Linked DNA regions of Diceros bicornis minor. The protein of the gene in region 2 interacts with the protein of the main gene of each other region in a biochemical or structural test. Links are inferred from orthologs where the notes say so. Each region holds a gene or a part of one and is shown on either strand. Other genes may lie near its edges.

Region 1 (7,685 bases), on a different chromosome or scaffold from region 2:
TCCATTAATTTCCATGGTAGATGAAATAAGAAAATAAGGAAGGTGGGGTTGGGGCAAGTAGAAATTTCAAATCCAGCAGAATTGAACAGTTCTGTTGCATCTAGTATCAACATGCTGTGTTTGGGAGAAGGACCTTTCGGTGCAACTGCTTGTCTGTTTCAGAAAGAGAATCAGTTTTCTCCAGGAGCTGGCTTCTAAGACTGCAGGTTTACTGGCTGAGGGGGAACAGGAAGGCAAGGAGGGCACCCAATAAAAGATAAGGATTATTTTCCAAAAAGGCCTGGACTAACCGATACCTGAACCTGGAACATGATCTCCCATCTATCTCGAACTTTCCCATAGATTACTGATTCCCCTCCATGGATTTTGACCCTCTTCTTATTTAATCCCCGTGTTATGCTAGGCTTTGCTATCATGCTAATCTCTTCCATTTCCTCATTTAGCAATTGACAGGACCTGGATCCATGGGATCTGTGATGGACTGGTCTTGGTGGGAGAGTCCACTGGTATTTGTTCAATGTGTTTGCAATACAGCCGAATGTACCATCCGTGAGATTTGCTTTAACTCTTTGGGAGGGCAGAAGCCAAGTCTTACCCTGTAAAATAATAAATACGTTTCAGATAACACATCCTTGCACTTTTTTCCTAGAATAATTGGAACATTCATACAAATAGATTTAGTCTCCTTGTAGTTTATTTAATTGCCTCTGTTATGAAAGACTTATAAACATGTCCATGCCATCTAATCTTTCTGATTCTCAGTTTGTAAAATGAGGGTGTTGAACTCTACGATCTCCAAGGTCTTTTCCTACTCCAAAATTCTGTGACCCGATACTTCTATTGTTTAGACAAAAAATAGGTCTGTTCTGAAATGGTCTGTGTTAGGCAGCAATCCAAATGGACTTTTTAAGAATTCACATACAAAAAAAAAATATTCTCACATAGAGTTCTATAGGATGAAGAGAGGGCCCATTCACTATTTGTTTGCTCTCTGTGGGAAAGCTATTCTTTTTTTTCCTCTTTGAACAATATAAGGAAACAACTTATCTTTTACGATTTTTGGATTCAGTTCATGGAGGGTGTCAGTATTGTCTAGTGTTCCCAACGGGGATGTGGGAGTCAGAGATGCCAGGACTTGTTCCCAGCTTTTCTGCTCCTTATGTGACCTTCAGAAGCCACGAAACGACTCTTAAGACTCAGTTTATCTGCCTGAGAAATTGGGCTCCTCTGTCTTTACCACAGAGAAAACCGAGTCTTAAAGTTTTTGGAAAAGGATTACAGCAGCCTAAAGGGTTAAAATGATCATCTTTAGTCTTTCAGAACATTTATGGATCCCGCTCTCAGATGCTTCTCTACTGCCTAGCATGAGAAGCTTTTGCACAAATACTGTAGGATATAGCATCACAGACCTAATTCAGAAACTGTAAGAATTCAACCAAAATCGGTGGCCTGAACTGGAGGTGACCCTGAGTATACTCGAGAATAGGTTTGCTGTGTAAAGTATTAATAAATAAAGTTGCAAGATAAGGGAATGCAGAACTTAAGAGGGGACAGGGGGACAGAAGGGGATGGCCAAGCCTGAAGAGTTTGTTATCAACATCCACTTCTACATCAACAGTTACCATCTTAATAAAATGAATCTTAGCTATTGATTAGGCTGAGGAAATTCTTCTATATTACTGCAGAGATATTCAGAAATAACCAAAAACTAGAAACAACCTTTCTATATGATCTGGTCAATTTTTCAGATAAAAGTACTTAGGAAAGTGCAAACCAGTGTGACAAACTTAGTATGATTTTACCAAATTAACATGAATCAGTGAAGTTTTACTATTGCCGGAAACTTGAAACAATCCAGGTGTTCCTAAAATCTGATGTTCAGAGTGGAAAAATAATACTGCCTGCAGTTTCACAGCGACACTGCTTGCTTCAGAAATCACCAGGTTGTCAGTTCAAATCCATCCCTAAAACCTTCCTCCACAAAATATACCAGGTCAGGGAAATAATTATGGTGTGAGGAGGAACCCCTCGATTATGTTTGGTGATCTAACTGGAATGTCGAATCAGCTCCTGTGAATGAGAGCACAGTTAGGTTGGCATGATCTCAGTAAACATGAATGAGCATCAGATTTCCCAAGCACACGAGGAAATGTGAAATGCTCTCAAGCAACCTTCCCAGTTCAGATGGAAATAGCCATTTTGGATATGTACTCCTTCGGCTTTTGTATAAGGGAATCAAGTCATCATTCAGTCAAGTTTAAAAGCTGCGCTTGAGCTGCCTTTTTGAGAGGCGAAGACATGCTGGAGCTGCACCACGATTCATCATGTTCAACTTCATTTGGTGGAAACATTACAAGGGAATAGGCTCTCAGTCTCCTAGGAAGTGCCTCGGCTCTACGTTACTTCCCAATCACGCTGCTTACCACTGCCCCTTTATTTCTTTGTAGCCTGTACCCTTTGTATAGTGTACATTGTACAGGCTACATTGGATCCAGAGGCCCCCATCCTGTGAAAAATTCAGATGGCTAGAGCAGTAATCAAAAATACCAATAAAGTGTCACCGGTCCTCGCTGGTGATATGGGATGGCGGGTGAGTGAGATATAAAAATGAATCATGAGGCGAGACATGATTGCTGCTCAGGCAACCACTTCCAAATGTGAGTGCACCCAGGTTGCATAAATGGTTCGGAATATTCTCCGTTAGGCCAAAAGGCTTGCAGATAATGGCATCAACTCATCAGGCTCCAAGGCCCCCAGGGACCCGGGAGGCAGAAGAGTTGTTGCTCAAGTGGTTGAGCCAAAAACATTTATGTCCGGGCACTGTTGGGTAAGTGGCATCTGCTGACAGGAACGGCTTGGAGTAAAGTTGGTTTTAAAAAATACGCACCACAGCCCTATATGTTTAATACAGGAAGCTGTCTGAGGTGTAAAGAATGGTGAAGTAAATGAGCGGGATACCATTAATCTTGGTTTGTTTCAGCACTACATCTTGAGCAGTTGAAGGGGGGGTGGGTGGAGAAAAAGACTTGCTCCTAGCTCATAACCTGAGTGTTAAAACTGATGTCCTTCCCATTAGGGCCTGTAAACTCATTAGCACATGGCAATTTATCCTCTTTTATTTGTTCTCAATTATCCTATCATCCATTGTATCTGGGTCTGATTACCCTTTCCCAGAGTCAAACATTATCTTGTAAATCATTTGCTTTAAGTCCAAGCCTGCCATTGCACTGCCTGGGATTTGCTTAGGCAGGTAATAAATCAATTAGTATTAAACTTGTGGTGTCATCTATTTTCTTTCCTCGTGCTTGGAAAGAGGAACACCTGAAACCCTAGCTTCGGTTACATCACATTTCTGTGCATGCTTTTGAACAATGCAGAGACGTTTACTCTTGTTTAAGGAGAAGGAAAGATAAGGGAAAACAAAACAAGGATTCCACATCCTCAGTGTGTGCCTGGAAGGCTGATGACATCATAGGTATGTGGCCCACGTATTTCAAAGGTGATACTTTTAGCAATAATTGGGAACATCTATTATTTAAACGCGGACATCAGAGATTCTGTTTAAGGGATAGTCTGATTTTTATGTCCAAAACACAATTATGGACCCAAAAGGAAGATGGTCGTTCATTTTTTTGTTCTATTATTCTTTTATGTACATACTACTTCTTTGCACACATACAAATTGGTCTGATATAACCAGACAAGAGGAGCAGAGTATTTTTTAGATCGTTGTCCTTTCCTCCCCTATACATTCTAAAGGGTATCTCTTCTCCCTTTAGGTAGTGTACTAATTTACTTATTCATTTTATCTTCATGCCCTGGATCTAGTTTTCAGTCCTTTGGGTGAGTTTCTGCACAGGGAGCCCAACCAAACAATCGTAGCTCAAAAGTAAGCCCTGTGAGTTCCTAAATTAAAGAGAAAAATCCTCTTGGGTATCTCAACAACCAGTAGCCTCTGCTAAGTGATGCCCCGTGTATGGGCTATAAATTAGTGGAGATCTTTGCCCTCCTGATTGGGAAATGGTGCCTGAAAGGGACTGTCAGACACATGGCAGGACCCCATCAGGGGAGCTGCTTCCAGCCTTGGAGAACAGTGGTAGAACCATGAAGAGGGCTGGAGCACGATGCAACTGGAGTGACTGGAGGACAATTAAAAATATTTAGTTCTGGGTCTGGCTACTTGGACTGCAGACAACCTGGCTCCCTGGATGTACTTTCTTCTCCAGCGTCCTTCTGGAATCTGCCCCACATCAAGTGCTTCCTGTGGTTCTTTTGGTTTCAATCCTTCGCTTTCACCCGGTGAGAACATGCATGGACTCTTCCTCCTATGGGTCGAAGGATGAATCCTGATTTAGTATCCTAATTTGTTTATTACTGATACTGGTTAAGCCCTCAGTGCCTAGAATTATGGCAGGCATAGGCTCTAAGAGAACCATGTAGCCATGTGTTTCCACTCTTACAGAGGGGCTGATGGAGACACTCAGGAATGGTGCGAAGCCCTTCCCCCAGAGCAGGGAATTTGAATCATGGGGTGGGGCTTGTTCAAATGCAGTCTCTGATTCGGTAGGTCTGTGATGGGCCTGAAATTCTGCATTCCTAACAAGCTCCCAGGTGGAGTGGATGCTGAATGGCCACGGCACTTTATATTTTCTTTTCTGGTGGCAAGAGTAACTTTTCACCCTATCACAGCCGTCTGCCAATGCATCCTCTGTGCCCTACAAGATACCAAGCTCCTTGAAAACAGGACATGACTACCTTGGTGAGTATATAATGATTAATTGCCTTGATTTGGGAACTAGGGGGTCTGGGATCTAAACTCACTTCTCTAGCAAACTAGTTTTGTAACGTTGATCACTTCCGCTGAAATTGTAGAAGATCTCTCTTTTTTGTGCAGTGAGGGAGTTTGGACTAGATTTTGGGTATTGTATAAAAGCAAGGGCAGGAGTGAGGTAAGAAATGTGAATGAGGGAAAGAGTCATGTAGTGATCAGGGAAGATCCAAGAAAGATTGTGATGTCTAAAGGGAGCTCCCTCCCTTGTCTCTCTCCTAGGGTGTGGATCCCTTGTTGCCAGACCTTACAAATTTTTAAGAAGATAGAAATCTGATTTCTTATTAGTGTAAAATCTTCTTGCTTTTAAATGTTGATGAGTAAAATGATTTTTTTTTTTTTTTTGCTCAAGAAGATTAGCCCTGAGCTAACATCTATGCCAGTCTTCCTCTGTTTCGTATGTGGGTCACTGCCATAGCATGGCTGATGAGTGGTGTAGGTCTGCACCTGGGATCCGAACCTACAAACCTGGGCTGCCAAAGCAGGGTGCACCAAACTCAACCACTAGGCCATGGTGCCAGCCCCCTAAAATGAATTTTTTTTAAAGGAGAAGAGACACACTGGGGATGACATACTATACTTCTGCAGGCCAAAGACTACCCACAGGCCACCAGTTTGCAGGCCCTAGCCTGGACTAGGCTCAAAAGCTTTCTTCCAGTAAACACATAGGAACTATGTTCACAAATGTTAGTCAAGCTAAACCAATGAAAACAACATTTCTGATGGACCAATCAAACCATCTATAATGGTGGAGTGGAGGTGGCCGGTGTCTCAGTGCTTTGGGCTTTCCTGAGTGCCATACATAAGATGGATGGAGAGGCTGGGCACCAGGCGCCAGCAGGTTACATGAGCTCTCCTGGGGGTATTTGCTCCACCTGTGACTTGTAGTTTGGTTTGTTTGTGTGTTTACTGTCCTAGGAGTTGCCAGACATGCTTCTGGTCTTTGAGGTGGTGATACTCGTGAAATGCTCAGGAACCGTGAGAGTCCTTCTCATAAAGATGGCTTTTAGGATAGTTCAGGGGTAGTGACAGCTCATCAGTCACAGAGTAATAATCTTTACCTTTAACTTCTTCTAAGACCTCTTAATAGGAACCACTCGTTCAATTGTCAAACTTTTTCTATTGACTCAAGTGCCATTAGCAGCCGTGATTAGAGACCATCACACTTTTCCCCAGAGGTGGCTCAGTATAAATGAGGAGACAACATTATGTTAGCATGGATATGGACATCCCTAAATTGGCAGAGTGCAGTTCTTGGTATAACTTCATTTGGTTGCAGAAGAGAATCCAAGGTCACACAAAGATTATTGTAAGAGCTGTATCTTCGACAATTGTCCACAATAGGTCCATACTAGTCATCATTTTCTGATGTTCTATTTTTCTGACTTGAGTTCTCTGGAACTAACCTTATAATGACACTTAGCCCATTTAAAGTTCTTTTTTTTTTTTTCATCTCTCTTCAGTTGGGTAATTGTTCCGTTCACATTATGGAGATGTGTCATGTCTTGAATTTTATATCCTGGAAAACATGTAGTAAGTCAAACTTGTTCAGACATGATGACACCACATAGACATGGCTGATTGTAAGAGGAGACAAATAGTTTAGGCTTAGATGTGAGAGAAAAACTGGGGTTACTGGCAAGCATTAAATATTTATAAAGCAGCCAATCTTTGGTACTCGTTGGGGAGTGTTTTTGCATGAGGCATGTCAGGCTTTATAATTAGTTATGGAACTTAGTATTATTTGAGTTTTTGCCATGCTATTTTCTTCCTATGAAGGATCATTATTTTAAATGTGTAATAAGAAGAAAGAAATATAGTTTGGGAAAGTGGTAACTTTTCATTTTTTGAATTTTTGAATAATAATTTATGTTACAGTCTAGTAGTGACTTTGAATTTTTTTTATTATCACATTTTCAGGGATGATGTTACACTAAAATAAAGATTGTGAACTTCAGTGTAAGATAAAAAAAATTCTAAATTCAGATAACTTTATAACATTTCTCTTAAAGCTTCTCTCTCCATTAGGAATAACAAAAGCAAAAATAAAAACACAAATGAAACAAAACAAGGCTCCCATTCTCTTCTTGGCAAATAACTGTATTTTGATTATTAGCAGAAATGGCTTCGCTAGTGCTTATGGCATTTGTAAATATAGTTAAGAGAGGGCTTTCTTTTCTGAAAGAAAGTTGCTACATTACAACCATAAGTTGCTATAACCTCTTGAGGGAGAGGGGAAAAAAAAAAAAACAACAAACCCTCAAACCTTAATAAAAGTTCCCAGCAAAACCGTTAGGGATTTCAATTATGAAGCTGTTCTCAAGATTCTTGTAAAGGTTATTTGTTGAACAATTTCTCTGTAACAGTGTATGACAAATTACTCGCTTGGCACCGTGAATGATACACAAGCCCTTTAATTAGAATATAGCACTCGATGTCTTTAAGACCTTCTAACATTTCTTAGTTATATTATTCCTCCCACGCCTTTCCAAGGAGATGTGGACTTGTTTGCAGAGTCAAAATGGGTGATGGAGTAGGGTGGACAGAGACCTCGCACTGGGCTGGGAAAATCCAGAAGCCACACAAAGAAAGGAAGGCTCTGACCCCAACAAGTTTTGATTGCAAAGGCGACTCTGATAACAGAGTTTTTTATTATCCATTGCTTTTAGCCTTATTTACCATCAGACTCTCTTGCCACGAGCATGCTTTTTAGTTCTGACAGCCCTGAATTATGGCCATTGTGGGATCCTATCTCATTAACTGAAATGGGAGAATAAAACATCAAACAATCATAAAAATAATTTGGCACTGTGAAACCACTTAGGAGCAGCTGTCAAACAGGTTGGAAGATAAACTT
Region 2 (7,490 bases):
TCCACCCAAGCAATTGGGTTTCCCTAGCTGAGAAAAGATGAAAAAAATCTGCCTCAGCATTAAGTCCTTGCCAGGCAGGTAGAAGATGCCTCCAGATGCAACCAGAGGCCCTAACAGAGTCATGAGAAAGCCAGGGGGCAAGTTAGCCTGAACTCGCAGAAACACCAAAGCATCCATAGGCCTCAGGCTGCAGGACCCTGGAGGCAGGCCAGAGCCATGCTCCCCCAGAGGGAAACTCCCACCAAGGCCAGGGGAAGCCAGGCCTCTCCTCCAGGCTGTCACCAGCCCACAGATTCAACATCAGCAATCTTACCAACAAAGATCCACACTGCCCCCCCTCCAGTCCTCACCCCCTAGCTAACAGTGCTTTGGCATTCAGGAAAGAATGTACCCAGAACTTCAAGGTGAAGAGCAGCATGGGGTAGGAGAAGGAGCACTTCTGGTCAGAATCCCATGTCTGCGATGTCAAGCCTTTCCACCTCTCACCTCCAAAGTTTTCTCAACTTTAAAAGTGAGATCAATCTTAAGCCTAACTGCTTTATCTGTTTTCCAGGAGTTTCTTTCTTTCTGGATCTCATAAAACCATGTGAAAGTGCTCTGTAAACTGGAAAACACTTCATGCAGCTGCTCGTTTTATAATTGATACCATCTTTTCTTTCTGTTTCAAGGCATAAAGCACTTATTATCAATGCACCCAGGCAGGTAAGAAGACAGGTTTTGGAAACCCCTCCCCCCGGGGGGGGGGGGCGGAGTAGGACACTCATTCACCCTACTCCCAACCCCCAACCCAAGGGATAAAGAAGAACTAAGAACCAGAGCTGGGACCAGAACCCAGGGCTCACTGACCACCACATCACACCACCTCCTCTGAAGTCCATTCTGGCTCCAGATCACACGCCCAGAGCGCACTTCCCAGACACCACACTGCCTTCGCTCCCCCTTTGTTGACTAGATCCACCCAGTTTTTTAAAAAATTATTATTTTTTAAGTCAGCACTCCCACCATATGTGGCATTCATTTCCAGAGAAGGCCTGCCCCGGATTCCCACGGACAGATGTTGCTTTGTGCCTGCCTGACACCACTGGCAGCCCTTGCACAGCTGCCCCGAGCAGGTGGCCAAGGATGGAGTCCACTGCCGGCCCAGGAGCAAGGATGACAATCTCTGCAGGGCTCAGGCCCTGGGGACCCTCTACTCATTCCTCTGCAGCCTGGGACCCCAAGGACATCCCCCACCCCACACACACTCCCTTGGCGCAGAATCAGACCTTAAAGGGGGCTGAGAGGGAGAGACAGAAGGCCAAGATAACCCCCCCACACACACCCCCTAATTCTCAGCCAGGCGCAGCTAAGCTAAGAGAAGGCCCTGGGGAATGCAGAGAAGTCACTGACCCCTTCTATCAGCCATCTGTGAGCTCCCGCCTGACCTAGCTAGCGCAATGTGGAGGATAAAGGAGGTCCAGACAGATGGCAAAGCGCTTTGGGAAGGAGGGCTCTGCAGGAATGCGAGGGCCGAGGCGAGGCCCACTTTGGGGTGCGTTTTGTTATCTCATTGGCTCTGAGCCCCCTCTATTCTGCATCTACCCGCAATCTCAGACTCAAAGGAGAGCAAAAACAGTCGGGGGAGGCGGGGAAGAAGACCCTACTCTCTGCCACTTGTCTCTCATTTGAAAGTCAGAGCATTGCACTGCAACTAAAGTGCGTGTGTGCGGAGGGGGCGGGAGACTGGCACAACCGAGTCTAAAAATACTCGATAAAAATGCTAATCCCGAAGGCAAAGCAAGAACGAAGAAGGAATCTGTCAATCATGAGGCTCCCGCTCCTCACCCACAGCCCCAGCTGTACGGACTGCATTCCTGTTGAGGAGGAAAGAAGTGGGGGGACAAGACTGAAGAAAAGAAAGGGAGAGACACCACCACCTCCACGAGCGCGGGCCGCGGGGGCGGGAGGCGGCGGCGGAGGAGGGGCTCGGGCCCGCGGAGCTGAACAAAGCGGGCCTCAACTTCTAGCCCGCAGCTCCCCGGAGTGGGGGTGGCCAATTCCAGCAGCACCCCCGTTTCCCGGAGGTGAAAAGCGAATGTGAGGTCTGGAAGTGAGAGTGCCGCGTGGAAGCCCCAGGCTCTGATGAATCTTTGCAAATCCAGAGAAGGTTTTGTTTGGGGTCCCCTCTAACCCCTTTCTGTCCGCGCTCCCACCCCCCCTTACACACACACACACACACACACACACACACACACACACTCTCCCTCCCGCTCCAACCCCACCCGGCCGGCCACGCCACGCCAGGGGGCTGGGCGGGCGCGCCCCCGGGTCGCTCGGACCCCCACCTGGGGATGGTAATGCACTTGGTGTTGACGTTCTGCGTCGTGATGGCCTTCTCCAGCTCGTCCAGCTGCCCCGTCTTCTTGAGCTTCTTGACCAAACTCTTGACCGCCTTCTCACACCACTTCTCCTCCTGCCCGTTCTGCTCGCCCTTCTTCCAGCCCAGCAAGCGCTTCACGATCGGCGGGGTGAAGGGCAGGATAGACGACATGGCTGGGGGAGGGCGCCCCCGGCGGGGCTGCGCGCGGTGGGACGCCGGGGGCGCAGAGGGGCGCTCGGCCGGGGCCGGCCGCGGCCGCCCAAACTTCGCCTCAACTCTCGGCGAACTTGCCCGTGCTCCGGGCCGGGCCGCGGCGCTGCAGCCTGCGGGGCTCGGCGCGCAGCCCTGCGCCCCGAGCGGCTCCCACGGCGGGGAGAAGGCCGGCGGGGGAGACGGGCAGGCGGCCGACAGCGGCGCGGGGTCGGGCAGGCCCCGAACGCGGGGCGGAGGCGGCGGCCGCGAGACTCGGAGTGGCAAAAGAAAGTTTGGGTTTCCGCACGGGGTAGCTGTTTGGGTGCCGCCTCCAGGAAGGAAAGTCCAACCCCCAGCCAAACTTTGCTCGCCTTGTTCGCTTTGATGCGCAGATCCCTCCGCCTCAGCAGCCTCGCCTCCCCGCTTCCCTCCTCCTTCCCGGCTCCCTCGCTCGCTCGCTCGCTGGGCCGGCCCGGGGCGTGCGCCGCGCTCCCGCTCCCGCCCGCTCCCAGTCTGTGTTTCATGCAAATCCGCGTGCAGCCTCCTTTCCAGGCGCTGTCACCGCCCCCTTGCCGCCGGGGCTCCCCGCCTCCTCCCCCGCGCCCCGCCGCCTCCTTCCCCGGGCGCCCGGCCCGCCTCCAGCGTCCGGGAGGGCGCCCGGCCTTCCCCCGCCCGGCGCAGCGCACGCCCACGCGGGCGGCCGGGGACAGCGGCGGCCCTGGCTGGAGCGCGTAGGACCCCGCGCGGCCCGGACCTGAAGTCTTGCGGGCGCCGGGAGGAAGTCGTGGGAAAGGAGCGGCGAGAGGGGCCCTAGGCGGGAGGGCTGGGCTCGGGCGGTGGCGTCCGCTCTGGGAACCCACACTCGGGAAGCTCAGTTGGAGTTGCCGGCCGGAGAGGGTTAGACTCGCAGCGAATGAGCGCCCTCAGACCAAAGGCTGGCGATGTACCCCTGGGAGGACCCGGGTCCGAGAGAGGGCGCACGGAACGCTGAGCCCCGGGAAGTGGTGGCGCACGTGGACGCGCGCGCGCTGATCCCGGTCCGGGGCCTTGGCCGGCGCTGGCGCCCCGGGGGCTGTTTTGATTCTCTCATCGGTGAGATCACACCGGCTGAGAGCCCCAAGGCTGTGTGCGAAGGAGGAAGTTGGGATGGGGAAGAAGTGGGCTCTCAGAAGGGGAGATTTGGGGACTCCAGTGACACCCTAGGTAATAGCTGGAGCCAGGGGTCCCTTGGGCTTTGTGAATCAAGTGCCCGGCAGAAAATAGGCCTCAAAGACATCTGTTGAATTCGTGAAGGAATGAATCGGGACGCTTTAGAATTTATCTTGGGGGAAAAATGACATTGCAGGGTGTTTTGAATCTTATGATACAGAAAGATCCGAAATTCGACACCCAATAAACAGAAAGAGAGAGAGCTTTGTTTCCAAAGCTGTGAACTCGCAAAAAGTGGGGCAAAAGGGCGGTGCTCGGGAAGTCGATGTGTTCAAAGTTAGCCTTGGTGGGAAGCAAAGAAACACCGGGATATTGGGGGGCTCGGGGGCTCTTCTCCCCACCAGCAGAATTCAGGGGCATCTGCCCACAGACCCCTCGGCTGCTTTCAGGAGTTACCCCAAGCCCCAGGGCCTTCCTCTGCTGACCCTCCCCTACCAGGCCTCTAGCCCGGTGTCTAAGAGCTTTGTTTATTTTTAACAGCAGGAAACCCCCGTGGTGAGAAAGAAGTTATCTGCAAACCCTCAAGCCAGTGGGGAGTTACAAAACCCTGTGAGGTGTGGCTGAATCCACAAAGTCAGCCCAGAAGCTGCAGGGGTCCCTGCCTTGTGGAGAGAACGGCCTCCCACAGGCCTGTCAGCTGCTGCCACTGAGCGCTGCGCTCTCTGCCCTCCCCTCCTGACTCCCCGCCTGCTTGGCCCTTAAAGGAGAATCCCTGAACCCCAACTGAGGCTTAACGACCTGGTTCCTGTTCCTTGCTGGTCCTCCAGCTGACCCGCAGCTGCTATGGTCTTAGGTTTCACTCCCTTCTTCCCAGCCCTCATCAAAAAAGAGAAGGAAGGAAGGCAATCAACCTTTATTGATGGCTTTCTTCATTCCAAGTCGCCCAAGTGCTGCCATCTAATTTAATCCTCACAATGGCCCTTGAGGTGGATGTCCCTCTGCCTCCCGTTCACAGAGGAGGCACCTGAGGTGCGGAGAGATTACAATACTTACTCAGGATTCCAAGCAGCACAGCTGGAATTTGAACCCCACGCATTGTGAGGCTTCAGTCCCAGTTCTTGCCACTGCACCCAGCTAGCTGCCTTATAGAGTTGTGGAAGGCAAAGATGACATCATTGATAGAGCTCTTTGCAAAACAAAAGTTCTTTACACAGGCTCGCTATTGTGCCTCTACAAGAAATGTTTGCTCACCTGTAAAATGGGGCTACAAATAGCTTTGCTCTCCACCTCCTAGGGTGGTTGTTGAAATCTAATGCAAACAGTCAAGTGTTGTAAAGGAATAGGACCACACCTTGGGGTCACTGAAATGCCGTGGAGAGCCTGTCACAGAGTGCGGATGAGGGAGCTCGGTTCCGTTCGAGGCGGATCTATGGAGAACCTTTGTGTTTCAGTCCTCCTACCCATTTCTGGGAAAGCTGAAATGAAAGATGCAAGTGCCTAACCTCAAGGACCTCACAGCCTGGAGAAACACCAAGGGGTGGCAGGTGTGTGCCTGGGAGAAAGGGGCCCTTGCAATCATTATCTCCTGGTAGAACATTAATTTTAACCTGAACATCAAATCAAGCAGGTCCAACTGTTGAGAGGCAGGCAGATAAAGTAAAAGGACGTCAAGCTCCATCAGTGACCAAGCTGGCTTTCAATCCTGGCTCTCTCCCTCCCTTCACCTCACTGAGCATTTGCTCTTTCAGCTATAAGAGTGGAGCAAACCGTTCTTCTTGTGCAGAGTGGTGAATCTAGAAAGAGCATTAAAATTGTTCTCCTCCAATGCAAGCCTCTCATTTTACACAGGCAGAAGTGGTATCTGGTGAAGGGAGGTGATATGCACTATGGAGTAAGGAGAAAAGATCTGAGGATTAAATATAGTGGATGGGCCTAGCGTGTACCTAACCCCTAAAATCATGGCATTGGAAGGGCCCCTTGTTCAGCCCTCTCATTTTCCTGAGGGGAGGAAATAACTAGTCAGCAGCTAGTTAGGGCAGCTGAACCATGCTATCCTGCACTTTCTTCACATGCAGGCATCCATGTGACACGGACAGCTGTGAACGCAGAAAAACAGTGCTGGACCCAGGTGTGAGTCCAAGAAGTCCCATTTCTGGGCTAGTTCTTGCTCCTCTGGCCTCGCTTTCTCCAGGAGAAGACTCAAGGGAAGAAGCCCCGTTTCACAAAGCAGCGAGGAGGGCTGTGGAATGGATTCCTCCCAGTGCCAGGGGGACCCCAAATGCTCCCTTGACTTTGGGCAGTGAATGGGTGGGTGGCTCTGGATGCATAGGAACTCCGTTCTGGCGCCTGGTCTCCTGGGGCCCAGCCAGGCAGGCTTTTGTAGAGGTTGTCCTTGGAAGGGAAACATTTGCCCGGTTAATTTTTCATCATGGTAAGTGCAAAGTTCAAGAGAGGTGGGATGGGGCCGGAGGCAACAACTCCGTTTCCCTGGGAATAGTCCTATCAGGGAATTGCCTCACTAGCCGACTTGCCAAAGGGTTTTTGTGTGTTTGGAGCAGCTCCCATGTGGAATACTGGAAAGAAACGAACACCTGACTTCAGTTCTGATTATTTTTCCATTAGCTAACGGAGGTTTAATCAACAAGTGGTGACTCTAGAAAGAGCATTAAAATTGTCCTGTCTTCATTTTGCAGAGACATAAAGTGATGTCTAGTGAAGGGAGGTGATTGGCAATATGGAGATAAGTCAGGATCTGGTCAGGACTAGGATTCTCATCAGAGTGCCCTCACCTAAGAGAGAGCCTTGGTCTGTAGCTCTGTGTAGCCCCTGACACACGCGAGCTCTCCCGGGGCACCCGGCAGAGCTGGGTTAAACTTCTAGCTCTACTACTTCCAGCTGTGTGACTTTGGGCACGTCCCTTAACTCCCTGTTTGTCAGTTTCCTCATGCATATGATGGGAATAATAATAACACCTACCTCTTAGGATTGCTGTAAGGAATCAAATAATCGGTGTAGAGAGCTTGCCACAAGCACATAGTACATCCTCAGTATACATAGACATGACTGATGCTCACCGTGGACTACTATGCAAAAGTTAGAAGTAATGAGTTCTGTATACACAAAACAAATAGATGAATCTTAAAAACCATTCCAAGTGAAAATAGTAACACACAGAATGAAATAAATAACATAATGCTCCTTATGTAAAAAATGACATATATACAAAACAATTGTATACATTTTGAAAGAGGTCATATAAATAAAAAAATACACATTGAACCACTTTACACCCGTTAGGATGGCTATTATCAAAGAAAAAAAATAGAAAAAAAGTGTTGGAAAGGATGTGGAGAAATTGGAACCCTTGTGCATTGCTGGTGGGAATGTAAAATATTACAGCCACTGTGGAAAACGGTGTGGAGGTTCTTCAAAAAATTAAGTGTAGAATTACCACTTGATCCAGCAATTCCACTTTTGGGTATATACAGGTATTTATCAGATATTTGCACACCAGTGTTCATAGCAGCATCATTCATGATAGCCAAAAGATAGAAGCAACTCTACTGTCTACTGATGGATGAATGGATAAACAAAATGTAGTATATACATACAATAGAATATTATTCAGCCTTAAAAATTATTCAGCCTTATAAAGGAAGGAAATCCTGTTACATGCTACAACGTGGATAAATCTTGAAGACATTGTGCTAAGTGAAATAAGCCAGTCACGAAAGGACAAATACTATATGATTCCATTTATACAAGGTACCTAGAATAGTAAAATTCATAG
Region 3 (7,435 bases), on a different chromosome or scaffold from region 2:
TCTAAATGTTACGTTGCTCTAAGGGTTGCAGTAAGGATTCCTGCCCACATCTGATTCCATACTCTGCACCACCATCATGCAATTAACAACCATAAAATACACAACACACTCATCCCTTTAGGAACATAAGAATTTAAGTTAAAATTCAGGCAGTTATCTTTTAAACAAGCTTTGTGCCTTGCAACTAGTCTGTGGCCAGCACATAACAGGTGCCAAATAAAAGTTTATTGAATGGAAAGAACAGTGGCAGCTTAGCAACAGAGGAAGAAATGGGATCATCTCCACTCATTCTGTTTTTCTAAAAGAGTTAATATAAAACTATCATTTACTAGGCAACATATACAATTATCTCCTTAAGGAATAAAACACTGAATCAGGAATTGGAAGAGAAAGGAAAGACCATACGTAAAAATTAATATTCTTAAAGGGCAAGCTACTGGATAAAACATAGAAGCCTTAAAGAGAGATCCAGCATGTTCCACTCAATTACAACACCTGTCTGACTCTGCCTTGTCACGGTTAATTAAACATGTCCTGCTTCCACAATTAGCTAGTTGCTAGCAGAGACTTTGGTCATTTTTGTGTTTCCAGAACACCAAAGACAGGACCTAGCACTTAATACTAATAGCTAAAATTTTATAAAGATCTTTTACAGATTATAAAACTTTCAGATGTATTTACCCTTAAAGCCTTGCAAGGTAAGTATAACTATCTGCATTTTATAGACAACGACACTGAGGTCCAAGGAGATTAACTGCCAAGACAAGTGGCCAGGTATCCTTCTATTAACACCACAGCTACCACAAAAGGCTCTCAATAATGTTTGCTGACTGAATCAGCTGTCCCTCGAAAATCACTATTTTTCTTTCTAAGATTACACCACCATTATCTGTTGCCATGAGAAATGATTGTATTGCCACTTAAGATTGATAGCTTTGCTAGAAAACAGATACTTTCATTCAGCTTGCCAAGGTTAGTTCACTTGATTCTCAAACCTTAGTAGGACTAAGAATAAGGGAGCGTGATAAAAATGAAGATCCTTGGGCCATCATCATCCCTAGAAATTCTGATTCGGGAGGCCAAGAATCTGCATATTGTTAACAAACACTCTCAGCTGATTCTAATGTTGGTAGTCTTTAGGGACACTGAAAAATTGAATTAGATTTTTTAAAACTTAATCTACCAAAAAAATTAAGCCAATTTTTTAGTTATAAATATTTAAGCAAAATCTTACAAAAAAAAAATACAACGTTACCGCATGTAACAGGATAGGTCCTCAAAAACATTTACTACACCAAACCTCCCTAGACCTAAGGAGCTTCCTGCGCTGCACAGGAGGTAAATCAGGGGTCTTCTAGGTAGTTACTCATGTTATTTTGTTTTATTGATGAATTCAACTATGACTGCAATACAATTTACGAAAACATTTTTATAGGTCTTATACAAATAATGATGTGAAACAGTAAAATGAAACAGTCAACTTTGGACCTAATATACAGAAATAATAATTTAAAAATCACCAACAGTACAAGCCCATTTTAAATTTTAAATGACCATCAAAATGTACTAACTGTGAGACTATGGATTACTTTCGTCCATTACTAAATATTTATTGCGAGTCGATACAGTACCTTTCTGTACTTTCCAAATTTTCTACAATAAGCATATTTATTTTTTTCATGATGATAAAAGTTTTAGAAGTACTTATCAATCCTACAACCTTCACATACATAACAGGAAAACAAGAATAACCTGTGACCACATTTATCTTAAACCATAAACACCCATATCTGACATGGTATCAAACTGTAATCACTAACTTTTTTTACATTAATACCAGAACACAATATTTAACTTCTAAAATTTAGACTATGTCCCATTTCCGTCAGGTATCTGTTATTAGGATAGTCAGCACGACTTTTTAAAATCCTCTTGTCATCTAGTCTATGGATCTATTTAGGTGGAACATTTTTTTACTAAGGACTGAGGCATTAAAATATTCACACTCTCTTATTGGGGGAGTAGGGGGAACGCACCTTTGTAATTAATAAAAAAAAGACATTTTTATAATTGTGAAACTTAACATCAACATCGCAAAGCTGGGATGGGGCTTTCTCCAAGGCAGACCACGCTTAAGGGCAAAAGGTAATAGAAGAAGGCAGGGATGAGCTACCGGCAGGTGATGAAATTTCACCTCAAATAAGACGCAAAACGTCGTTTTCAACCCAGTCAGATCGGTGAATGACACTCCGGAGTACCAGGGGCTTTCAGGGCCCCGCACTTTCTGCACTCCAATTCTCACCCTGCCCTCCTGTCCTCCAACCCCCCCCTCCGGGACTCGGCGGGACTCAGGATGGGGCGCGGAAAAGCCAAAGCTGTTTGCAAACAGGCGTCCTCAGCCTCGGTCCGGGATGTACGTGCAGGGCCCGGGGTAGAAGGCTGCGCTCGGCCCGGGGCCAACACGAAGGGTGCCAGTGCCCCCGCCAGCCCCCGGCTCCACACAGGAGCCTGCGCCGTAACCGAGGCCGGGGCGAAGGCTCCTCGGCGGCGCGGGGCCTAGTCGCCCCCCGCGCGCCTCCAGCCTCTCGGGGGACGCGGGGAGGAAGGGCTGAGGCTCCAGCGCCGCGGGGTGGGGGAGGCGACCACAGCGGCAGGACGCCCCGTCCGCCCGGCTAGAGGGCTTCTGCCAGGGTCCTCCCGGGAGGCCGAAGGCCAGCGAGCCCGGGACCGCGCCACACTCACCTCGACCAGCGGCCGCCGCCGCCTCAGCATGGCCGGGGGGGTCGTCCCTGAGCCGACAGCCTCCGCCGGAGGACACCGGCGCGGCCCCAGGCGCCGCCGCGAAGCCTCCCACTCCTGAAGGGGCTGTGGTCGCCGCTGCTGCTGAGGCCCAGCGCCCACCGAGCCGCATCGGGCTCCCGGGCCGCCGCAGCCACACGGATCCCGGAGGAGCGCCGCCGAGCCGGCCCGGGGGCGCAAGGCTGCGGCGGGACGACCGAGGTGCTGCAGGCGGGGATCCTCGGCGAAGCCTCCAGCGTCGCCGTGGCCGCTCCTGCCGCCGGCGCCGCTGGGCCACAGCGCCCCCTGGACCCCACGCCCGGCTACGGCGCCGGGACTGCGGCTGCCGCCCGAGCACGAGCGTCAGGGACGCGAAGGAGCGCGGCCTGAGGCTGGCTGGGGCCCCGCGCTCCCTGCGCCGCCCTCGGCCCCCAGACTGCCCCTGAGGACGCCTCCCCGGAGGCAGAAGCCCCTCGGCCCCCACAGACCCTGGCGGGCCCCACCCCAACCGGCAGCACACCCCACCCTTAGACCCCAGGCACCTTTGCTCCTTTTCCTTCTCTCCAGAAGGTACGTGAACGTTCTTGTCAACTCGGACCCTCACGTGAGTGCAGGAGTATGAGGGAATCTCCTCGTTTTCATCTCTTGATGATTCGAGGGGGAGCCCTTCTAATCCCTTCAGCGTGTCTGTGTGTAAGAAGAGTGACCCAGAACCAACCTTTTTCCACACACACATACAAAATCCTTTCCCAAAACAGATGAAGGAATTGCCTTTGACTTTAACTTTTTTTGGATCTACTGTGCAGATCATTATAGAAATTTCCTTTAGCCCCTAACCTCCCCAAAAATAGAAAAAAATAATAATATGCCGAGCAAGAGAAGAGAATAGCCAACGGGTTGTCCTGAATTCATAAACAACTTAAAGGTAAGAAAAGAACCATCCATCTTTTCTAACTAACCCCCTCCCTCACTCCCACCCCTTCTCTTCTACCCTCCACCCTTGCTAAATCCCAGGTAAGGCTCTGAAGGAAGGAAATTGTTTGTTTATTGAAGTATAGTTGACATAACAATATTATATTAGTTTCAGGTGCACAACATAGTGATTCGACATTTATATACATTATGAAATAATCACCACATCTAGTAACCATCTGTCATCATACAAAGTTATTACAATATTATTGACTATATTCCCTATGCTATACGTTACATCCCCATGACTTAGTTATTTTATAACTGGAAGTTTGAGGAAATTGTTATATAGCAGGGGCCGTGGAATCATTCTGTTTACTGATACCCCATATTCTATCCCACTCAGATTCTAGGGTGCAAATATCAGAACGAAAAAGAAAAGAAAAAAAAAAAGACTGTCGGGGGGAAGCAGGGAAAGAGAGAAATTCTCCAAATCCTCTGGTCTCAAATTTTTCAGAATACATTATTTTATCATAGAGTGGTATAGTAGAATCAGCAGGAAACTGGTGGCAGACAGATCCTGATACTACCAATTCCAGATCTGTTGTGTTTAGCTTTATGACCTGGGCAAGTTACATAATATTTCTGAATCTCTGTTTTCTAATGCCTGCCTTGTTAGTTGTTGTGAAGATTGGAGATAATTTATGTAAAGGAACTAGCCCATAGAAGGTATTCAATAAATGTTACTTCCAATTAGTGTTGGTTCCAAAACACCCTCTCAGTCTTTCTTAGATTCAAGATTGTTCCCATCTGCTTTTGTTCTTTCTCTCTCAATCTGTGTGTGTGTGTGTGTGTGTGTGTGTAAATGTAAATGTTTTCCTATCAAAAGATGGGTGCATCATTCTTCATCATCCTCAGTCTAGGTAAAATTTCCCTAATGGATTTATGTAACATCCCTCCTGAAGAATAATAGAGTCTAATTCACTGGATCCTATGACATTCTGTTGCATAGCAGATATCAGCATAGAACCAGTATGTTTTTCTTTTTCTTTTTTTTTTTTTTTGAGGAAGATCAGCCCTGAGCTAACATCCATGCTAATCCTCCTCTTTTGCTGAGGAAGACCAGCTCTGAGCTAACATCTATTGCCAATCCTCCTCCTTTTCTTTTTTTTTCCCCCCAAAGTCCCAGTAGATAGTTGTATGTCATAGTTGCACATCCTTCTAGTTGCTGTAAGTGGGACGTGGCCTCAGCATGGCCGGAGAAGCAGTGCGCCGGTGCGCGCCCAGGATCTGAACCCCCGGGCCACCAGTAGCGGAGCGCACACACTTAACTGCTAAGCCATGGGGCAGGCCCATGTTTTTCTTTTTTGTGTGAGAAAGATCAGCCCTAAGCTAACATCTGTGCCCATCTTCCTCTACTTTATATGGGATGCCGCCGCAGCATGGCTTGACAAGCGGTGTGTCGGTGCGTGCCTGGGATCCGAACCTGCGAACCCCAGGCCGCCACAGCAGAGCATGTGCACTTAACCGCTTGCTCCACTGGGAAGGCCCCCAGTATGTTTTTCTGTATAGAAAGAATTATAAGGCAATCTCACCTTACCTTAGGTTATGTCCTAATAATAATAAAGCTTAATGAGAAAATTATATAAGATCTCTGGGAACTTTCAAATAATAATTGAGCAGCCACTTTAGAGAAAATATAACCTAACAGCTCTCTTCCAATCAATTGTAGAGCTGATCCTGTACAACCCTGTACAGGATTTGGCCTTCGCCGCCTACTTCTGATTCACATTACAAAAAAATCACTATCCCCTTTTTATAACAAGAGAAACTGGGGCTCGGAGGGAAACTATGATTCATCCTCATAACAACTCTGTGAATTAAGTACTATACTACCACCCTTTTACATGTGAAAAACTTCCAATGTAAGGAAAAGCTGAAAGTAAACCCTGAGATTCCTTCAGTCTCCCATCTGATGCCCTCACAGTTCTTTCTGCGGTATTCAGAAAATGCTGTGAGAGTAAGTTACTGTTGGCTAAAAATTTTCAATCTAGAGAAACGGGCCCTTTAATTTAGATCAATTTGACAACCTAACATTAGCTCTGTGCTTTCCAAGCCTAGTTCGCTACCACTCCAGGAAATCTGCATTTGTTTATGAATAATTTTGCTACCCAGGGTGTAACTACTACATGAAGATGATTCATTTGTTCCCAGGACCAGTTTCCTCTTGCTTCACACTTTCTCCCCTTATTCAGATTATGTTGCTGAAAGTGGCTGCCTTTATCATCATTACCACGTTCCTGATCATAGTAGTCCACTTTAAATCCTTTCTACAGTTTCATTTCATTGTTTTGACTTTTCCTACCCAGTTTGCTCTCTGCTCCTGAAATGTCTCTCATCTGTTTTCCTCTCCTTTACTGTAAATCTCTTTTTCATTTTAATCTACTTTGACCTGCTGTCAGTTGATTTGGTTACTCCACTCTCAATTTTGCATTGATTTCCACTACTATCCAGTGACTTTAAAATATCTCCTTATTCCCAACCTGGTAAACCTCCTGACTTTCATTTTTATACCATATACATCCTTAGAAGGCCAGTTTTCTAAGAATGGTTTCTTCAAGTAAGTTTAAGGTATAGCACCCCAAACAAAATTTTTTTTTGCTCTTTAAAATTTCTTCTTTAGGGCCCGCTCCGTGGCTTAACAGTTAAGTGAGCGCGCTCCGCTACTGGCGGCCCGGGTTCGGATCCCAGGCGCGCACCAAGGCATCGCTTCTCCGGCCATGCTGAGGCCATGTCCCACATACAGCAACTAGAAGGATGTGCAACTATGACATACAACTATCTACTGGGGCTTTGGGGAAAAAAAAGGAGGAGGATTGGCACTAGATGTTAGCTCAGAGCAGGTCTTCCTCAGCAAAAAGAGGAGGATTGGCATGGATGTTATCTCAGGGCTGATCTTCCTCACAAAAAAAAATAAATAAAATAAAATTTGTTCTTTAAAATTCAGGCCTTTTGTGTGTCAATTATACCTCAATAAATCTGGGAAAAAAATTCAGAACAAAACGATATCCATTTCCTGGCTTGGTGAATGGCACAGAAGTCATCCTTAACTCTTGTGTCTCTGTCCTGGACAATTGGTTACTAAGCCTGATAAATTCTACTTCTTGCTTTTATTGAATTTCTCTCCTCCTCTCCAACTCCACTGCCACATCCTTTGGTCTAGGGTATATGCTCAATAAATTACAGGTGCACTGAATGAAAAGAAGGGAGGGAGGGAGAGAGGAAGGAAGAATGGATGAATATTATATTTGTGTACAAGAGCATATACTGTAGGGCCGGCCCGGTGGCGTAGTGTTTGAGTTCAGCGCACTCTGCTTTGGCAGCCCAGGTTCGTGGGTTCAGATCCTGGGTGTGGACCTACACCACTCATCAAGCCGTGCTGTGGCAGTGACCCACATACAAAATAGAGGAAGATGGGCACAGATGTTAGTTTAGGGCCAATCTTCCTCACCAAAGGGGAAAAAAAAAAAGAGTATATACTGTGTAAAAGTTTGTTCACAAAAAGGCACAAAACCTCTTCCATGCTTCCAGTAATCCTTGTGCTTCCCAATTTATAAGTACTCATCACTGCACTGTTAATATCTGTTTACTTGTATGTCTTCCCTATCAGATTGTGAGGCCTGTGAGCCAGGTTCAGTGTTTGATTCATCTCTGTGTCCCCACAACCAGTCTCAGCACAGAGTAC
Region 4 (6,987 bases), on a different chromosome or scaffold from region 2:
CCCAGTGGAATTGCTGGGTGAACATCAGCCCCACCTATTATTACCCATACAAATAGCAACCTCAAACTCCAAGATGACTTTCTCATTTGATCTCCATGCTCTCATGAATTAGGAAACGCAGGTATCGTCCCCATTTTCTGCACAACTAGAGGTGAAGTTGGGACTCATAACCAAAGCTAATAACCAACTGCTTCTTTCACCACATCATACGACTTTTCCTGATTCTATACACAGAATTATCAATTAATATCACATGAACTGTACATATAACAGTATAAATACTAAAGGAATACTCAGTCAAATGCAATTCACTTAATGAACAAGCATTTAAGTGGAACAAAATATAAACCACAGTGCTAGGTTCTGAGAGCATAAAGGAAATAAAAGACATGACTCTTGCCCTCTCGGTACCTATCACATGTTCAAGAGTATAGTTAAGTAACAGTGCAAGACAGCAGAAATGGACAGCACAAACTGTAAGTGCTATACAGCTCAGGGAAATGGAAAGTTCAGGAACTAAACCAGTATAGGAAGTCAGGATCGAGTTCTCTCCTCATACTCCCAGAAGCGGCAAAATTAAGTATACAGTGAAAGCTGCCAAGTCAGGAGTCAGAGGGAAGACAGAAATTGCTGGAATTGAGGGCTTGCAGTAGTGAGAAGTGAGCTCTGGCTGGATACTCAGAGATGGCCCTAATCATAAGCTTCAAGCGCTGCTCTAACTGCTGAATACAAATGGGAAATCTTGTAAACCCTTTATGGGATGGCTGAGGAAGATTAGCAGTAGCCTATAGAAAAGCCTAGATGAGAGAAACACTGGAAGCAACTAGATTTGAGGGATAACAGGCAGCCTAAAGTGATGGCTGCGTACAAAGAGGAGACATTCAAGAGGCATTAATATAAAGAAGAGTTGAGTTTTAGGCAAGTGTTCAAAGAAAAAAGTTATGAAATGGCAGAAAGGAAGCAAACAACATTCTCACATGGGTTATATACATAGATGTAGTGGGACTAAACTGTGTACCAGGAACAGGGAACCCATGTTCCTAGAGAAATCTGTATGGGAGAGAGCAGAAGCTGGGCAGAGAAATAAAAAACTGATAACCCAGACAATAAGGAACAACTGCAAGCTCTTAAAACGAGGCCAGGCAGACCAGCTGAGGTAGTCCAGACAAAAGCAACAGCACCTGTATCAGCTTTGTGTTGCATGCATGCCAGTGCAGTGTGTAAGCTCCTCCAGGGTGCGGACTCAGCAATCTGTCCATCAACTAAGGGGAATACTGTTATTTGAATACCTGAACACTCTGTGTGCTAGGCTAGGTGGAAAAGAGTGAACTACACTATTTGAGTTAATGGTGTTGTGGAAATGTTATGTATGCTTGACTCATAACTATATTGATTCTCCCTGCTGTCCACATATTCATCTTGCCTGCCTCCTTAGGCCAATGTCCAAAATCCATTGTTTCCTCTAATGCAGGCCCAGTGTGAAGGGACTCCAAGAATGCAGTAGGAATCAGAAAGAAGCCAACCTGATTTTCAAATTGCAAGAGCAAAATCTAAATGTGAATAATAAAGATCAACTGCTCGTTACAGGACTGAAAAAGAAAAATGGGCTATGCAGGACGGTTAGGTGTATATACTAAGCTTGTACAGGTTTTGGAATACTGAACCCTGGGTGCAAACCCTAACTCCAGCTCTTAGTAATTGAATACTTAACTTCTCCCCTGCCTCAGTTTTCTCATCTATAAAATGGGGCAAATGCCACTAGCCCTGAGGGCTTAGTTGTGAGAATTAGATAATGTACTTCGGTGTACTTTATGCATCTACATCATAGTCAGCTCTTAACAGACAGTAGCTGTTAGTAATAATTGGCACCCTCAGTCTTGAGTTTTTTGTTTTTGCTTTTTAAAATATCTGGTATTCAATTTCAGAAACAGAAACGTATTTTCACTGTATTTTAGTTTCCAACGCTAAGGCTCTATTATTTTAGTTTCGACTATCTTAGTTTGGATGCGAACAAAGTTTTTAGTTCCTCCTTGCACGACGGTAGGTGATGACCACGTACCCCATCCTGATTTAATATTCCGGAAAACGGAGCAAACATTTTCCCTTGAAAACCAGCTACACAGACGACTGATTCAAACTACTGTCACTCAAGAAAGGGAACATCACTAGCGACGTTCCTTCGAGGAAATAAAAGCGTTTGATCAACTCACAGAGTCGTTCCCATTCAAATACTCCAAACGCCGCAGAGTGAGCAAACGTTCAAGTTTCTACTACGAAAACAATCTGCACCATTCTGATTCCCGGATCCACTTCAACCCCTCCAGACGCCCGAAAGGAGAGCCCCTCCGCACATCTTCGTGCCTCCTGCTCCTCCTCACACGAAGCTCCGCAGTTGCCCCCCCGGAGCCGCGCCCGGCCCGAGGGGCAGCCCCCTCGGCGGGGTCGGGCCGGCGCCGAAGGCCAGGGCGGCCCCGCTGACCCCGGGGCTCCACCACACGTCGCCCCCGCCCGCCGCGCGGGGAAGCCTGGAGGCTCCGACCCCGACCCCGCCCGGGCGCCTCGCACCCGCCGCTCGGGGTGGGGTACCCCGGGGGCGCGGGGAGCAGCCCCAGGCCCCGCCAGCCTCACACCCCCGGCCCTCGGCGCGCGCCCACCGCCCCTCAGAGGGCAGCCCCCGACTCGGACGGCCCCGCCCGACGCACCTCCCCGGGAGCGGGGGCGGCCGCGGCTGCCGGGCACGGCCACCCGCGCGGACACACGCCCCCGCCCCGCCCGGGACAGCCCAGCGCCGGCCCCGGCGCCGCCACCTGCGCCCCCGGCCCCGCGCCATGTTTGAGAAAGGGAAGGAGCGAGCCAGAGGCCCGGCCCGGCCCGCGCGCCCCGCCGCCCGCCGCGCCGCCGCTCACCCGCCGCCCGCGGGACCAGCGCCGCCGCCGCCGCCAGCACGAGGAGGAGCAGCCGGGGACGCGGAGCAGCGGCCGCCGCCTCCATGGTCCCCCCCGCCACCGCCTGTGGCCCGGCCCGGCCCGGCCGCCGCCTCGCCTCAGCAAGCCTCGCCTCGCCCCACCTCCCCCGCCGCCGCGGCGGCCTCGCTCCGGCCCTTTGTAACTGCTCCGGGGACGCGCGGCCATTGGCTGCCGGGCTCCCGCCGGCCACGCCCCCCGGCCGTCTGCGAGCGGCCGCGCGGGCCCCAGCCCGGAGCCCCGCCCGCGGGCCCGCCGGGCAGCCAATCCGGGGCCGCAGGCGCCCGGCCGCTGGCCACGCCCCCACGCTCCCGGGGCGCCGTGCCGCCAGACCCCGGTCCCGGCCGGAGCCGCTCGCCGCTGGGAGCAGGCTCGGTGGGGCCGGGGTCTAGGGAGCCCCTGCCCTGCGACCTTCCAGTCCCGGAGGAAGGTCGGGACGATGGGTGTGTCTGGGCGTGTGTGAGGCGCTTTCGGAAAAGGGCTGTGGCGGCTCGACGCTCTTTTCTTCTAGCCTCCTCTAGGCGCCTAAGATCTGGGACTGACCCAGCGCCGCCCCGGCCCCCATTCACAGCCCTGCACCACCCATCCCCATTCACCCAGACCCGCAGTACCGCCGGCAGGCTTCAACTTCCGCTCCCCAGATCCACGCCTTAACTTTCAACATCCCCCCCAAGATTCTTCGTCGTTGCCCTTCCTAGACGACTCAGTCTCCTGTTTCCTCCCACTGTCAGCGTCTAGCCCCAACCTAGGCTCCCCGCCCCCCAAATTCCAGGCCCAGAAAGTCCTCAAATCCTGGCCTCAGGTCCCAGCCTCAGACCTCACATCCTAAGCTCAGACATACCCCCGAATAGCCTCCCGCCTCCCTCCGGAACTCAGAGCAGACCCAGAACGGCGCTCCAAACCACACTCCTTCCCTCTTACCCCTCCCTGATCCAGGTGGGAAAGGGAAGGCCCCCCCCCCAAAGGAGGGGGATTCCCCTTCTTAGCACGCAGCACCCCCGGGGCGGAGAGGAGCAGTCATTACTTTGAGCTGCCTCTGACACGCCTGCACAATAATTCTGAGGTGTCGCTGGAAACCCAAATAACCTCGGCTACGTTTTCATTCTGAACTCCTACTTGACTGTGAGACGCTCCACCCACCTTCCCCCCGGGACGCCAAAATGAGCTCCAGATTTGTAATTCTTCCTGTCAGACTAGTCCTCTCTTCAGACGCAAACACAGCCAAGGAGGCTGCTACAGAGAACACAGAACATTTTTCCACAGAACCTTTTAAGGAGAAAATTTTATTTTCTGTGTGATTTGAACTTGGAATGAAATAAACCTTGGGAGCAGGGATCGGAACCAGCCCTTAGCATCGCTTTGTCAATTACTTTAGCGCGACCCCGTGAGCCTGTTACCTGCCTGTGAAGACCTCCCTTCTGAGCTGCAAAGCGACAGGATGCGGCGTGGAGCTGGGATCTGAGACCTGCCCTATTCCCCTCCGGGCTGGGACAGTTAAACAAGTCAGTTGGCCTTTCTGAGCCTCCATTCTTTCATCTATAAAATGGAAATAATATCTATCTCCCAAGGTAAGTGAGAGGATATGATGAGATTTGGGGGTTCCACATCCCGCTTTCAAGTTCCACTTCTAGGCCCTCCCTCCAGACCCCTCACCTGCCCCTCTGGAGAGGTGAGGGCCTGGTATACACTGAACCACCTCCCCAGGGATGCAGCTACTGCTAAAACCCAGGTCACGGCCTGCTCTCCAGGGCTGCTGGAGACAACAGCAGCAAGCTTTCCTCTCGCCCGCCGCAGAAGGCTGACCAAACCAGGAGAGACTGCTTCTGGCCGGCTCCAGTCCCAGTCTGCTCTCTCTGTTCCAGTTTCTTCAGTGGAGACTTGGTGGGTCATTCAGGGCCTTGTGACACCTGAGGTCGCAAGACTGCTTTTTTTGCTGCTCTATTCTCAGCGTCTTGCATAAGAGCTCAAGAGATATATATTGTATGAATGAATGAATGATTCATCTCGGACAAGTGACTGTTCTCTCATTACAAGGTTCTTCATCTCTAAAACAGAAATATAATGGTACCTACCCCATTTATAAATGAAAGGGGTTGAATCACACGTCTTAGGCCCCTTAAATGACGTAATGTGTCTGGAATATAGTAAATATTTAGTTAATGCCATTTCCTTTGCCCATCCCCTTCCAGCTCTGTATGATTCTAATCAGCATGCGTGTTCATGCTAATCCAAGCCTTTGCCGTGCAGAGCCTCAGTTAATCAGCGTTAGGATATCTTCTATGACACACTTCCAGTTCCTTAACATTTTCCATGCAATGGAGTGTTCCTTAGGACACTGAGGAACAGGAAGGAGAAAGAGGCTATTTTTAAATTTTATTTTCCTAATATTTGGAGGAAATTTCCATGAGCCACGGATCCATGAATAAACTACCTTAGAATGGAATAATAAATTATAAGTTTAAAATCATGGTTCTCAAACTTTAAAATGTCTCCAAATTACCTGGGGAGCTTTTAAAAATACAGATTCCGGGGTGTCAGCCCTAGAGAGGCTGCTTCCGTTCATCTGAAGGAGGTCCAGGAGTCTGCATTTGTAATACACACCCCGGGTGATTCTGTTGCACGTGTCACCAGGCCACACTTCGAAAGACAGTGCTTTAGAAAGTATGCCCTTAAAATTCAATAAATAAAAATGTACGCACTTATTTCACCTTTTGAGAAACTGTGGGTGATGGAAAGAAGCCTCTGGCTTTGGAAGCCTTCAGACCCTAGTTGGAATTCCAACTCTGCCATTTACGGGTTGTGGGATCTGTACACACTGCTTGATCTGTCTGAGGTTTCACATCTCCTGGTGTGAAATGGGATAATGACACTGACTCATGGATTTGTTGTAAGGTCTAAATGACCTATATAGCACATGAAGACTCTATCATAAATGTTAATTCCCTTCACGGTCTCTATGGGCTCTCAAAAAGAGTTACAGGTTTGTTATTCTAACATTTTGATTTAAAGGAGAAGAAACTGAGGATCAGTCCCCCAGCAAGTCAGCTGCAGAGCCAGGACTAGGAGACGAACTCCAGGACCTTGTCCCCTATGTGATGCTACCTCTCAATCTTTATACTGAGTACATTGTCTGCTTTTCCTTTTGGATTATTCCCTTAAGTAAGATGTTTTCTCCCAAACAGAGAGCAAAGACTGCTGGTTGCCTAATCTATACCCATTCCTACATTCACTTTATAACAGAATCCTCATTTCCTTTAGGAAAGCAGTTCACCTAGGTAAAAATCTCAATTTCCCAGGCTCCTGGCACCTAGATATGGCTATGTGACAGAGTTCTGGCCAGTGAAATATAAGCGGAAGTTTACCGGGTAGAGCTTGTGGGAAAGATATTGTTTTCCCTGTAAAGAAGAGACAGACTCATCACATTTTCACCTTCTTTCTGCCTGGAACACAGTTGCATTGCCTGGAGGTGCAGCAGCCATCTTGTGAACATAAGGATGTTGGCTATAACTAGGAATAGTAGAGAGAAAAGTGGAAAGAGTCTGGGTCCTTGATAAAGTCCTTGAGCAACTGTGCCAGCTCTAAAATGCTTACCCTGGAGTCCTTACTATATGAGAAAAATAAACATCTTCCTCTTCTGTTTTTTTTTTTTTTTTAACCTTAAATCACTTCAATTCTAGTCATATGCTATCATTGTTGTGTATTTTATTTCTATCTTATTTTTTAACCCACAGGATATTATTGACTTATACCATTATTGTCTATTGCTAGCTCTTGGTGCTCCTAATGGAATAACAAATCACCTGAAAACTTAGTGGTTAGAATAATAACCATGTGTTCCTCATGAGACTCTGTGTAGGCTGGGCAGTTTTTCTGGTCTGGGCCAATTGACGCTGACCTCAGCCGAGCTCGCATGAGTCTGCTGTCAGCTAGCAGGTCAACTGGGAGTTGAACAGATCTGTAATGGTCTGGATCAGCTCCTCTACGGGGTTTTTCATGCTGAAGCAGGCTTGCCTGGGCGTGTTAA

Evidence for each region.
Region 1: the proteins of SMAD3 (region 2) and MECOM form a complex in vitro, tested with the Homo sapiens proteins (2 studies listed by BioGRID). The link is inferred for Diceros bicornis minor from reciprocal best matches to the Homo sapiens genes SMAD3 and MECOM.
Region 3: the proteins of SMAD3 (region 2) and ZFYVE9 form a complex in vitro, tested with the Homo sapiens proteins (2 studies listed by BioGRID and IntAct, with this or other methods). The link is inferred for Diceros bicornis minor from reciprocal best matches to the Homo sapiens genes SMAD3 and ZFYVE9.
Region 4: the proteins of SMAD3 (region 2) and TGFBR1 form a complex in vitro, tested with the Homo sapiens proteins (2 studies listed by BioGRID, with this or other methods). The link is inferred for Diceros bicornis minor from reciprocal best matches to the Homo sapiens genes SMAD3 and TGFBR1.

What each region holds. Positions count from the first base shown.
Region 1 is NC_080754.1:52,324,141-52,331,825, forward strand, and holds the start of MECOM (histone-lysine N-methyltransferase MECOM), read left to right. Parts: upstream 1-4,679; 5' UTR 4,680-4,759; intron 4,760-7,685.
Region 2 is NC_080744.1:61,120,895-61,128,384, reverse strand, and holds the start of SMAD3 (mothers against decapentaplegic homolog 3), read right to left. Parts: upstream 3,020-7,490; 5' UTR 2,531-3,019; coding exon 2,325-2,530; intron 1-2,324. UniProt on the Homo sapiens protein: Receptor-regulated SMAD (R-SMAD) that is an intracellular signal transducer and transcriptional modulator activated by TGF-beta (transforming growth factor) and activin type 1 receptor kinases.
Region 3 is NC_080752.1:14,482,406-14,489,840, reverse strand, and holds the start of ZFYVE9 (zinc finger FYVE domain-containing protein 9), read right to left. Parts: upstream 3,007-7,435; 5' UTR 2,743-3,006; intron 1-2,742. UniProt on the Homo sapiens protein: Early endosomal protein that functions to recruit SMAD2/SMAD3 to intracellular membranes and to the TGF-beta receptor.
Region 4 is NC_080767.1:9,159,466-9,166,452, reverse strand, and holds the start of TGFBR1 (TGF-beta receptor type-1), read right to left. Parts: upstream 3,007-6,987; 5' UTR 2,992-3,006; coding exon 2,907-2,991; intron 2,324-2,906; exon of another isoform or gene 2,211-2,323; intron 1-2,210. UniProt on the Homo sapiens protein: Transmembrane serine/threonine kinase forming with the TGF-beta type II serine/threonine kinase receptor, TGFBR2, the non-promiscuous receptor for the TGF-beta cytokines TGFB1, TGFB2 and TGFB3.